Linked DNA regions of Arabidopsis thaliana. The protein of the gene in region 1 interacts with the protein of each later gene in a pairwise test. Each region holds a gene or a part of one and is shown on either strand. Other genes may lie near its edges.

Region 1 (6,072 bases):
TATATGAAATGTGGAGACTTGTGTTCTGGGTTACGAGAATTTGATTGTATGAATTCGAGAGATTCGGTGTCTTGGAATGTTATCGTTTTTGGGCTTCTCGATTATGGTTTTGAAGAAGAAGGGTTATGGTGGTTTTCGAAGTTGAGAGTTTGGGGTTTTGAGCCTAATACTTCAACATTGGTTCTTGTGATTCATGCGTGTCGTAGTTTATGGTTCGATGGAGAGAAGATTCATGGCTATGTGATCCGTAGTGGGTTTTGTGGGATTTCGTCTGTTCAAAATTCGATCTTGTGTATGTACGCAGATAGTGATTCTTTAAGTGCACGTAAACTGTTCGATGAAATGTCTGAAAGAGATGTTATTTCTTGGAGTGTTGTAATCCGAAGTTATGTGCAGAGCAAGGAACCTGTTGTTGGATTGAAGTTGTTTAAAGAGATGGTTCATGAGGCGAAAACAGAGCCTGATTGTGTGACTGTGACAAGTGTTCTCAAGGCTTGCACGGTGATGGAGGACATTGATGTTGGAAGATCAGTTCATGGGTTTTCGATACGGAGAGGTTTTGATTTGGCAGATGTGTTTGTTTGCAATTCACTTATTGATATGTATTCAAAAGGATTTGATGTTGATTCAGCATTTAGAGTATTTGATGAGACCACTTGTCGAAACATTGTTTCATGGAATTCGATTTTGGCTGGGTTTGTACATAATCAAAGGTACGATGAGGCTCTTGAGATGTTTCATTTGATGGTGCAAGAGGCGGTCGAAGTGGATGAAGTTACAGTCGTGAGTCTTCTCCGGGTTTGCAAGTTTTTTGAGCAGCCATTGCCTTGCAAGTCAATACATGGTGTAATAATTCGGCGTGGATATGAGTCAAACGAAGTGGCTTTGAGTTCTTTGATTGATGCGTATACAAGCTGCAGTCTTGTTGATGATGCAGGAACCGTGCTTGATTCGATGACGTACAAGGATGTGGTGTCATGTAGCACAATGATCTCTGGATTAGCCCATGCTGGCCGATCCGATGAAGCAATCTCAATCTTCTGTCACATGAGGGATACGCCCAATGCTATCACCGTCATAAGTCTTCTTAACGCATGCTCAGTTTCAGCGGACTTGAGAACTTCCAAATGGGCACATGGGATTGCTATCCGGAGAAGCTTAGCCATCAATGACATCTCAGTTGGTACCTCTATTGTTGACGCATACGCAAAATGTGGTGCCATAGAAATGGCGAGAAGGACTTTCGATCAAATCACTGAGAAAAACATCATCTCTTGGACCGTGATCATTTCAGCATATGCTATTAATGGTCTACCGGATAAAGCATTAGCATTGTTCGATGAAATGAAACAAAAAGGTTACACACCAAACGCTGTGACATATCTGGCAGCTTTATCAGCTTGTAATCATGGAGGATTGGTAAAGAAAGGTCTCATGATCTTCAAATCAATGGTAGAAGAAGATCACAAACCTTCATTGCAACATTACTCTTGCATTGTAGACATGCTTAGCCGAGCTGGAGAGATTGATACGGCTGTGGAACTTATCAAGAATCTTCCAGAAGATGTTAAAGCAGGGGCTAGTGCTTGGGGAGCGATTCTTAGCGGTTGCAGAAACCGTTTTAAAAAATTGATCATTACCTCAGAGGTAGTAGCTGAGGTTCTTGAACTCGAGCCCTTGTGTTCTTCAGGTTACTTGCTTGCGTCAAGCACATTTGCTGCAGAAAAATCATGGGAAGATGTAGCAATGATGAGGAGGTTGGTGAAGGAGAGAAAGGTTCGGGTCGTTGCGGGTTATAGCATGGTTCGTGAAGGAAACTTGGCAAAGAGGTTTTTGGCTGGAGACAAGTTAAGCCAGAGTGATTCTGAATTAAATGATGTCGTTCAGAGTCTTCATAGATGCATGAAGTTAGACGATACTGCAGGACCGATAAACTAAAGCCCTTTGGGCCTCAACGAAGCAGATAAATGATATTATTATACGATGCCGTATGTATTCTCGGATCCGGGTGAGAAAAGGAACGAACCGGGTTTTGTTTTTGACCCGACCCGGTCCCTTCGATCCGTTCTCTGAAGCAGAAGTCTTCTTGTTTTGTTCTCTTCGATCCATTTCGTCAAGCAATCTACCGAACCGACTCAGAGCTTTTGAGTCTTCTAAATCTCTATCGAATTTTTCTAGGGTTAGGGCTCCTGATCGATTTCGCGAGCTCTGCGATTATTTTAAGTATTAGGATCCGAAATTAGAAATGGGTGGAGAGGGAGATTCAAGTCAGCCGCAGAGTGGTGAAGGAGAAGCTGTGGCTGTGAACATCAGGTGCTCTAATGGCACGAAATTTAGTGTGAAGACGAGTCTCGATTCAACGGTGGAGTCTTTCAAAGAGTTGGTGGCTCAGAGCAGCGATGTTCCAGCTAATCAGCAGCGCTTGATTTACAAGGGTCGTATCCTCAAGGACGATCAAACTCTCCTCAGCTATGGTAATCTTCATCGTTTCTGATTTATTCGTGTGGGTACTTTTGTTGTTCTCGTAGATCCTTATTGATTGAAATTCTTGTGGATTCTATTCTCTGTGGAACATGTTATACCTAGGTTTGCAGGCTGATCACACCATTCATATGGTTAGAGGCTCTGCACCTTCTTCAGCACCACCTCCTGCTCCGGCCGCAAGCCAAACCACTGCACCTAGTGTTACTCGAGGGGTTGGTTCAGATAATAGCTCGAATCTAGGAGGAGCGAGTCCTGGGGAATCTTTGTTCCCTGGGCTTGGATTTAATCCTCTGGGTGGTGGAAATGCTATGTCTGGGTTATTTGGAGCTGGTCTTCCGGATCTTGTGCAGACACAGCAACAACTAGCTCAAAACCCTAACATGATTAGAGATATGATGAATACTCCAGCCATCCAGAACCTTATGAACAACCCAGAGTTTATGAGGAGTATGATTATGAATAACCCTCAAATGCGTGAGCTTGTAGATCGCAATCCTGAGCTTGGTCATGTGCTCAATGACCCAAGCATCCTTCGTCAAACTCTAGAAGCGGCAAGAAACCCAGAGCTTATGCGTGAAATGATGCGGAATACTGATAGGGCTATGAGTAATATTGAGTCTATGCCTGAGGGATTTAACATGCTTAGGCGTATGTATGAAAATGTCCAGGAACCGTTAATGAATGCTACCACTATGTCCGGGAATGCTGGAAACAATACAGGCTCCAATCCATTTGCTGCTCTGTTGGGAAACCAGGGGGTCACTACGCAAGGAAGTGATGCTTCTAATAATTCTTCGACACCAAATGCTGGAACGGGGACTATTCCGAATGCAAATCCACTTCCTAATCCTTGGGGTGCTACAGGTGGTAAGTAACTGCATTTTCATCTTCTAATCTCCTGTCGATTTTATTTGTCTTTTGAAGGATGCAGTAATATTTTATAAATGAAAAAGTGGCTTGTTTATAAGAAATGGACGTTACTGTTCACTGCTCTGCTTCAGGAACAATATTGTGTATAGTAAATTGGTGAGTTAGTGTAGTTACCACAATTTGTTGTTATGTGTAGTTTTTGCATATGATTTTCTTGGCTTATTGTTTCTAATTTAACATTTACTCATAATACACTAAATATAATTGAACATATTGTGGGCTACTTGACAGGTCAGACAACTGCCCCTGGAAGGACAAATGTTGGTGGGGATGCGAGGAGCCCTGGACTTGGTGGCCTTGGTGGTCTTGGAAGCCTTGGAGGCCTTGGTGGACTCGGTATGCTTGGAGCGGATTCACCTCTTGGTGCGACTCCAGATGCTTCTCAATTGAGCCAGTTATTGCAAAACCCAGCCATATCGCAGATGATGCAAAGCGTATTTTCCAATCCACAATACATGAATCAGGTAGGCCTAGAATGATCTGAACTTAAGAGCCTTTTACCATTGTGAACATATATTAATTGTTTTCCCTTGATTCCAGCTTATGAGTCTTAACCCACAACTCCGAAGCATGCTAGATTCGAATCCTCAGTTGAGGGAAATGATGCAGAACCCAGATTTCCTTCGTCAGTTTAGTTCTCCGGAGATGATGCAGGTTAGTTTGTCCCCTATTGTCTGTATGCATATGAATTTTTAACATGGTAGTCTCTCAAAAGAAACATTTCTTTGTATCTAAGCTATTTTCAAGTAAAGAAGTTTCTTTTCTTTTTTTTTTTTGGGACAAAGTAAAGAAGTTTCTTAAACCTAATGTTTTCTATTGTTTTTTGGTCTTCAGCAAATGATGACTCTACAGCAATCACTATCTCAGAATAGAAATACAGCCAGCCAGTAAGTTTTGTTAAAACCCTTCGTTGTTTGGATTTGCTTAAACAAAGTTGAGCATTTACATGTCCTTTACATATTGTTTTTTGGGTTGTTTAGTGTTTAGACAATGTTGTAACTAGCTAAAAAGATTGGTTGTGAACGATCTCTATAATAAGAAAAGGATTGAACCATGACTAATGCAGCAACTCTTGTATGATTTACTGGGCTGATCACTAGTAACATCTATCAAAGAGGCTATAAATAAAGCATTTTAATCGTTGGAATACACTTGAATAGGGCTCATAACATTTTGTTTGTTTTTGATTATGCCTTTTAGCATAAGCTATGTGTGTTAATCTCCATATTTTGATTTTCATCAATCCGCATTCATGTTCCCAAATCTATCTTCTCTGTAGGGATGCGGGGCAAACTGGTGCTGCCACAGGTACTCTTAAAGATATTATATGTATTTATTCTACAGTAGTATAAAGGGTTTAGTTATGTTACGTAGTATAGCAGCTACTCTTTAGTTCTCTTTGCTTTCATGTATGTTTTATTTTAGCAGATATTGTATCGTATACAAGTTAATAGTAGAATGACAATACTGATGGGGACAGGAAATAACGGGGGGCTGGATTTATTGATGAATATGTTTGGCAGTCTTGGTGCTGGCGGCCTGAGTGGCACGAACCAATCCAATGGTTAGAGACTACAAATTTTTTTTAGCTTACGCATCTGTTGTGATGGTTCCACTGAAACTTGTCTGTTTGATTCCAGTTCCTCCTGAAGAGCGGTACGCTACTCAATTGCAACAGTTGCAGGAAATGGGATTCTATGACAGAGCAGAGAACATTAGGGCGTTGCTTGCAACCAATGGTAACGTTAACGCTGCTGTAGAACGACTCTTGGGGAGTATCGGACAGTAGCATACAGGTTCATGAACTGATGTCTCTCCATCTGGCTTCTCAGTTATAGAATAAACAGCTTGAATGTGTGTTTTTCAGTAATGATATATTCATCGAATTCATAAAAATTTATATATGATAGGATCGTGAACTTTGTTGATAGAAAAGCCGCATCAATACGGTATTTGTTATCAGTGGTCACTCTTCGTCTTTAACTACCCTTAAACCTATATATCTTGGGTGTTTATCTTTGATAACTTATTTCAAGTTGTTACAACATACAACATCTGTAAATGTTTATAGACATCAAAGTGAAATTGAACCCATTAAATTTTTGGTTCCTTCTGATCCGGTTCAAAGGTTAAACCAAATTGCCCAAAGAGAGAAGTGGCATGTTGCAAAGGAATATCCAATTAGTTGATTCATCATCTTCAATTAGATTCAAGTTACAGCCAATTCCTTCCTGAACTATATACCAAATGCCTCAATTTAGACCCGACCCGGCCCAATCTTACCCAGTAAGAGTCGTCGATACGTTCTCTGAAGCGCAAGTCATTTCTGGATTCTCATTTAATTGGCCGTTCGGGGCCAAATAACTCTTTAATTTTCTGCAGTCTCATTTGTTATTCGACCAAAAATAATTTATATCCCTTTCCTCAAGAAATCTTCAGAACCGACTTATTAGAGCTTCGAGTCTCCTCAAATCTTCTTCTACGATTTTTTCTTCTAGGTTTAGAGCTTTTGATTCTCCGATCAATTTCGCGATTTGTTGAACTAGGATCTGAAATTAGAATGGGTGGTGAAGCAGATTCGAGGCAGCCGCTGACTGCTGAAGGCGTAGCTGTTGCCGTGAACGTCAGATGCTCCAATGGCACGAAATTTAGTGTGAC
Region 2 (5,554 bases), on another chromosome or scaffold:
TTATTCCTACGGTTCGAGTTGTTGTTACTTTCACCAAATTTGAAGAACTTCAGGCAGCTGAGGAGGAGTTCTCAACACCTCCTTCTAGTCCGGTATTTCATGATGCAAAGTCGTCTTCTTCAGAGAACTCATCACCATCATGGATCTCATGGATGAGAAGTGGCAAATCAAGTGACAATGATAGTAACCGTTACAAAGACGAGGCTGACCCTTTCTTGATACCTTCAGATTACAAATGGATCGATTCAGCTGAGAAGAAACGTCGAATGAAAGCTAAGAAAGCTAAGAGCAGGAGGAAGAAACAAGCGGCTACAAAAGCCGCTGGTGCTAGTGACTCGGGTACCCGTTCAAATCATGTAGCCGAAGAATGATGAGTCCGGAGTAACTGAATCATTGCATTCAGGTTTTGCTTTGGCTGGATTCAAAGATGTTCACTTTTTGAGCCATCATTGTGGCCTTGAGAAAAGGCTTTTGGTAGTGTTGTTTATTGCTCTTGTATGTCATGTTATTTCTGAAATTCCTTTAACAAACATCTTTGTTCTCTCTTAATGATTAATCCTTTTTTTCTATTCGGTTCGATTTTGACTCCTCTTACTCCCCCAGCATTCCTAAACCATTTCTGAATCGACTTTGAAATTTTTGACATTAATCAGAAAACTTTTTCGGTTCAGGAGCAAAAGTGCAAAGCTAATTCAATAATGAGCTATGAAAGTTTGAACTCCAATCATCTCTTCCATCCTTTTCTTTATAAATTTGATCAGTATATAAATTTTATTTTTCCATCCTGAACAATAATATCATCCCCCATTGTGCAATAGACAACAATTTCGAAGCTGAAACTAAGAAAGAAAAAAGTAACCATTTGTCTGCCTTCTCTGTTTTAATCAGAATCAGCTTTGATTAGGATTAACACAGCTTTCTTTCAATCCAAGAAGCACTTGATCCCAGACTTGGTGAGCTCTAAATGAAAGCTTATCCATATATATATATAAAATCAATTGGGGTATTAGTGTCTCACTTGGCAGTCTTTTAGCTCTTCTGGTTCAGACTCTAACTTGCATGGGAGAACGATGATGGAACTCTCACTGTTGGCTTAAAACCATTAAATAGACTGGTCCTAAGTGTCCTGAAACAACCTCCTAATCTGATCAACGCTGGCTGGAATCAATGTCACCGGACATCGCTTGTACTGTGTGATTACCATAGAAGACGGATATAAGCTAATACCAAGGTTGGGGTTTGGGAATAGAGAGTAATGATTTGGAGAACTCACCTTTGAAACATACTTAAATACGCAAGAATAGCAGAAAACAAATCCAGAGACAGTGACAACTGATGGATTTGCACGTTTTTGCAAGCATAAAGCACAGAGGGATCTGTCTGGAGGTAGAGGGATTCCTTCTTTGGCCATCTGTTACAGAAAAACAAAAACTTTGACAAAGTCGACTGAGTGATGTTTACATAAGTTTCAGATAATGCTACCTGATTGATTACCTTTGGGGCTGGAGGAGGTGGAGGTGGAGGGTACACTGTTGGAGCTGATAATCTCTCTTCAGCGGATTGATACCACCATTCCATCATCTACAAAACCAAAAACACACGAAAATGAGCTAGATGTTTAGGTTCAACTAAATGATTATGCGATGAAAAATCTACCGAGAGTCAAAAACGCCATAAGTATAGCAATAAGCTTTATGGATTTAGCGGTGGCTGTAGCATACAAAATCTAATCTAATGTAATTTAAGCTTAGGACCTTCATTTCCTAAAGGAACCTACTTCTGCTGGAAGCTTTTAAGACAGTGAAATAAGAGAAGTAACATAAACTGGGACATTTATGGATACTTACTTTGAAGATAAAAACTGCTGCAATTAGACCGGTTTGGGCATAGTCAAGCACAGCATATGAGCAGCTAAGAAGTGCCCCTTGCACCGTCTAATTCAATATTCAAAACAATACTGTCAGACGTTGGATCACTAAAGTGTAAGCAGTAGTAGGAATCAGCCTATCTCATTCCTTAGGTTACATGAAGTTTAAGAAAAGTGAAATCATACTTTTAACCATGGAGGACCACGAAGTCTCTCACGCTCATGATTCCGAATCTTTGAAATCCTTGAGGATGTATCCATCTATCTTGGCATCAAAAAAGGTAAAGACGAAGAAAAAAAGTGTGTTAAGACATAACACATGTAAATTTACCACTTTGAAAGGTTTTTATGGGTCAGTCAATGATGGTATAACATCTTGCAGCAAGATGTATGTAGAATTTTAAATAATACCATCCAACAAAGCCAAAGCGCCCTAATTCTATGGGGTGCATAGTAAGATAATGGTGACACGAAATTTCAACCAGAAAGGAGGAAGTTAATACCAGTTCTTGCCCTGTAGCTCTACAAACTTGAATCCCAAGAGCTTGTAGCCCAAGAGAATAAAATCCAGTAGCGTCCAGCAGATATAAGAGCTGGTAAGTGAACGATAATCCTACACAGAGGATCCCATATAAGCTCATTATAAATGATACAGATCAAATAAAATTCTCCATGCCAATGAAACTCAGAGATAGAAGTCTACGCACGAAGCTAATCAGTGTAAACTAAGAAGTGCTCGTAATTATGTTAAAGAATCATCAGCTACTATGCAGTCGAAATGTCGATGCTCACATAAATCCACAATTACCTTCACTTGATGCATGTATCCAAGGATAGCAGACAGCTATAAACTTTTTAATTTTGGTAGCTAATTGTACTCGAACAGAAAGCTCTTCATTCCCACTAGGCTCTCTTGAAACAATTGAATCATCCCCTGTGAAGAAGTCAGCTTCATCAAATCCTTGATCCTCTGCACCCCATAAACTTTCCCGGAGCCTAGCCTCTCTTTCTTTATTATATATAGCATGCAATTTTGACTTGAAATACGGTAACACAACCTAGAAAAAGGCAGTAACCAAGCTTAAAGGCATAAGCTTTATGCTTTCAACATATACGCATTTACAAAGTTATAGCATTTAGGAAAGAGTCAGTACCAGAAACACAACAGAAAGGATTCTCTGACGCTTCTCTAAACCAGAATGTTGAACTTCTTCGCTAGAATCCTTCCTGGCACTGTCTTTCCTCAATCTCAATCTCGCTGATTTCCTCCTTAAACCATACAATGATTCAGCAAAGGAACCATCTGAAACAATTCACAAACCTCTAACTGTTATAAGCAAAAAAGTTCCAGTACACTCTCACACAAAACCTAAAACAGAATCCAGAAGCTACCTGTGGTTCGTAAGCTGTGTCCTTCAAGAATAAGCATCAGAGCAGCAAAGAATTCATCCTCATAGTCTAAAATCTTATGGAGAAACGATCGTCTCAAAGCAAAAACCTAAAAAATCACGAAACAGCAAACAAATATAAGAATCATACAGATAAGTACCAAATTTCAAAATCGAAAAGAGACGTAGGTAGAGAAGGGCATTATACGCCGAGGGAATAGGTGAGAGCGGCGCGAAGGCTAGCAGGAAGTTGCTGAGCAGCAGCCATCTCAAAGAAGGTGGGGCGTGTGCCTTCACCTCCCACCTGAAACAACATCTTCTTCCTCCTCCTCTAATCTCTTCTTCTAGTTAGTGATAGATAGTTTAATAAAGGAGAGACCTTTTGTTTTTGACTGAGAGATTGAGACCTTTAGCTTCTCCAGAATTGCAGAAATTGGTAAAGAAGATAGAACAGACGAAGAAAAGACGCATTTCGAGAGATCATTATTAATTACGTCATAAATAAGGATGTTCTTTAGCCACGTCATCTAAATTGCTGACTCATCAGCCGACAACATTCCAACTCGACAGTGATTTGTCCACGTCATCTCCATTAAGAAGAAATTTTCATTTTCTTGCTGCTGTGATATTTTCAATTTTATATACACAATTACATATGTTTGCAACATCTTTGGATCATACTCATGAGATGTCTAATCTTCTCTAACCCGTTTTCTATTACTAGTCCCAGAAGTAGATTCACTTTGATCCATTGTGCTAGAACCATTCTGCAGTTTCTGAGTTATTGATGGTTCTGAATTGGTTGCTTTATGGAGGAAAGGTTGTGAAAGGTTTGGTGATGGAGCTGAAGGGTCAGCTTCTGGCATTGATGATGAGGAAGTAGAGTCTTTTTTGTTCTCTTGCATCTTCTGTTGTTTCTCAATCATCATCTGAAGATACCGACCTTGTTCTTCGATTTGTAACTGCAGTGATCTTTGGATCTGCATTGTATTAAGACCAATATAAGATCAAAATCACCAGCTAAAACCAAAAACTAAGAAATCAGACAAATGAAGAGGAAAGGACACTGTTTTGTTTTATAAAAGCTTCTTTTAGGCAGTTTGAATTATTATACCTCAAGTTGCTCGTGGAGTTGTTTTTGAACTTTCATCTGTAACCGGAGAGCTTCAGTGATTTCAATGCTCCTGAAGAAGAATAAAAAAAAAAAATCTTAGATATGAAGAAATATTATCCTAGGTGATACTTAGTCTGTTCTGACAGAGAAGTAAAATGTTCCTTACGTCTTCAAGTCAAGAGATTTGATATCTTCAATGGTTTTCAAATTCTTTACTAGAGGTTCTTCTGTCCAAGAAGAAAAGCTGATTATGTATAAAGACGTGTTTCATCACACAAGAGTCTTTTAAATGCCATTATGTTTCCAAAGTATAATAAGCTTATGTGAAATATTGAGAAGACAGTTTGAATCCTTAGATGCCTCAAGTACCTGTATCTTTGGAAAGCTCTGGTTTATACCTTGCAGTTCTGTATTTCTGGACAAGCCAATAATATAAAGACGTTTAAGATGAGCTGTAAGCATACAAACCGAAAACATAGATGGAGAATAGTAACCTGCAAATGGCTTTTGACATGATAAACGGTCAACCCAGGGCTATTGATGAGCTTCAAAACAGCCTTAGGGGTGGCTCCTGTGGTTTGAAATTATAAGCCAAGAGAATAATAATAAGTTGTTCAGCTAAATTTTGCAGGCATGAGAAGGAAAAAAAAAGGGCATACGCACGTTCACTACCACCGAGCTGATTGATAGCTTCGACAAATGCTTCATGAAGTTCTGGTGTCCAACGCATTCTTTGCTTAGATGTCATTGAACTAGCTGGTGGGCTTTTGGCATTAAACGGCTCCATTGATGGATCCACCTGATGCTGATTTCTAAAGACGATCTCTTGCCTTGCTATATCAGAAGACTGTGTTTCTATCTGTAAGACATTATCAGAGTCAGTCTTAATAGAAGAATCATATTTAGCTGAAATAAGCGTAGAGATTCATATTTAGCTGAAAGAAACGAACCTTTGAATATAGATTGAGTACATTAGGATCACCTAGAAGCTCCGACCAATTTGGTTCAAGACTATCATCAGAGATCAACTGATCCGCCCAGTCTGGCCATTCGCATTTTGAAAGCACTTCCTTGGATGAAACCATAGTTCTGCTGCTCGCTGCTTGTGGATCTGGAACAGGAAAATCGAAGAAGCCCCGAATCTGGTCTGAAGACCAAGTCATAATTTTCTGTTCTTGAGGTTGA

What was found.
Region 2: the proteins of DSK2 (region 1) and PEX12 interact in a two-hybrid assay, tested with the Arabidopsis thaliana proteins (one study listed by BioGRID).

What each region holds. Positions count from the first base shown.
Region 1 is NC_003071.7:7,481,264-7,487,335, reverse strand, and holds DSK2 (ubiquitin family protein), read left to right. Parts: upstream 1-2,095; 5' UTR 2,096-2,245; coding exon 2,246-2,474; intron 2,475-2,586; coding exon 2,587-3,351; intron 3,352-3,645; coding exon 3,646-3,878; intron 3,879-3,954; coding exon 3,955-4,068; intron 4,069-4,248; coding exon 4,249-4,301; intron 4,302-4,693; coding exon 4,694-4,722; intron 4,723-4,894; coding exon 4,895-4,978; intron 4,979-5,054; coding exon 5,055-5,203; 3' UTR 5,204-5,455; downstream 5,456-6,072. Other genes in the region: AT2G17210 (Tetratricopeptide repeat (TPR)-like superfamily protein), read left to right, coding at 1-1,938; AT2G17190 (ubiquitin family protein), read left to right, coding at 5,975-6,072. UniProt on the Arabidopsis thaliana protein: Binds and presumably selects ubiquitin-conjugates for destruction. Prefers multiubiquitin chains rather than single ubiquitins, with a binding affinity for 'Lys-48'-linked ubiquitin chains.
Region 2 is NC_003074.8:1,184,658-1,190,211, reverse strand, and holds PEX12 (peroxin-12), read right to left. Parts: upstream 3,729-5,554; 5' UTR 3,572-3,728; coding exon 3,464-3,571; intron 3,366-3,463; coding exon 3,260-3,365; intron 3,171-3,259; coding exon 3,022-3,170; intron 2,926-3,021; coding exon 2,676-2,925; intron 2,481-2,675; coding exon 2,371-2,480; intron 2,129-2,370; coding exon 2,054-2,128; intron 1,935-2,053; coding exon 1,848-1,934; intron 1,582-1,847; coding exon 1,274-1,581; intron 1,190-1,273; coding exon 1,171-1,189; coding exon of another isoform or gene 1,118-1,170; 3' UTR 704-1,117; downstream 1-703. Other genes in the region: AT3G04470 (Ankyrin repeat family protein), read left to right, coding at 1-371; AT3G04450 (Homeodomain-like superfamily protein), read right to left, coding at 3,948-4,235, 4,370-4,439, 4,536-4,596, 4,739-4,784, 4,864-4,940, 5,033-5,228, 5,320-5,554. UniProt on the Arabidopsis thaliana protein: Component of a retrotranslocation channel required for peroxisome organization by mediating export of the PEX5 receptor from peroxisomes to the cytosol, thereby promoting PEX5 recycling.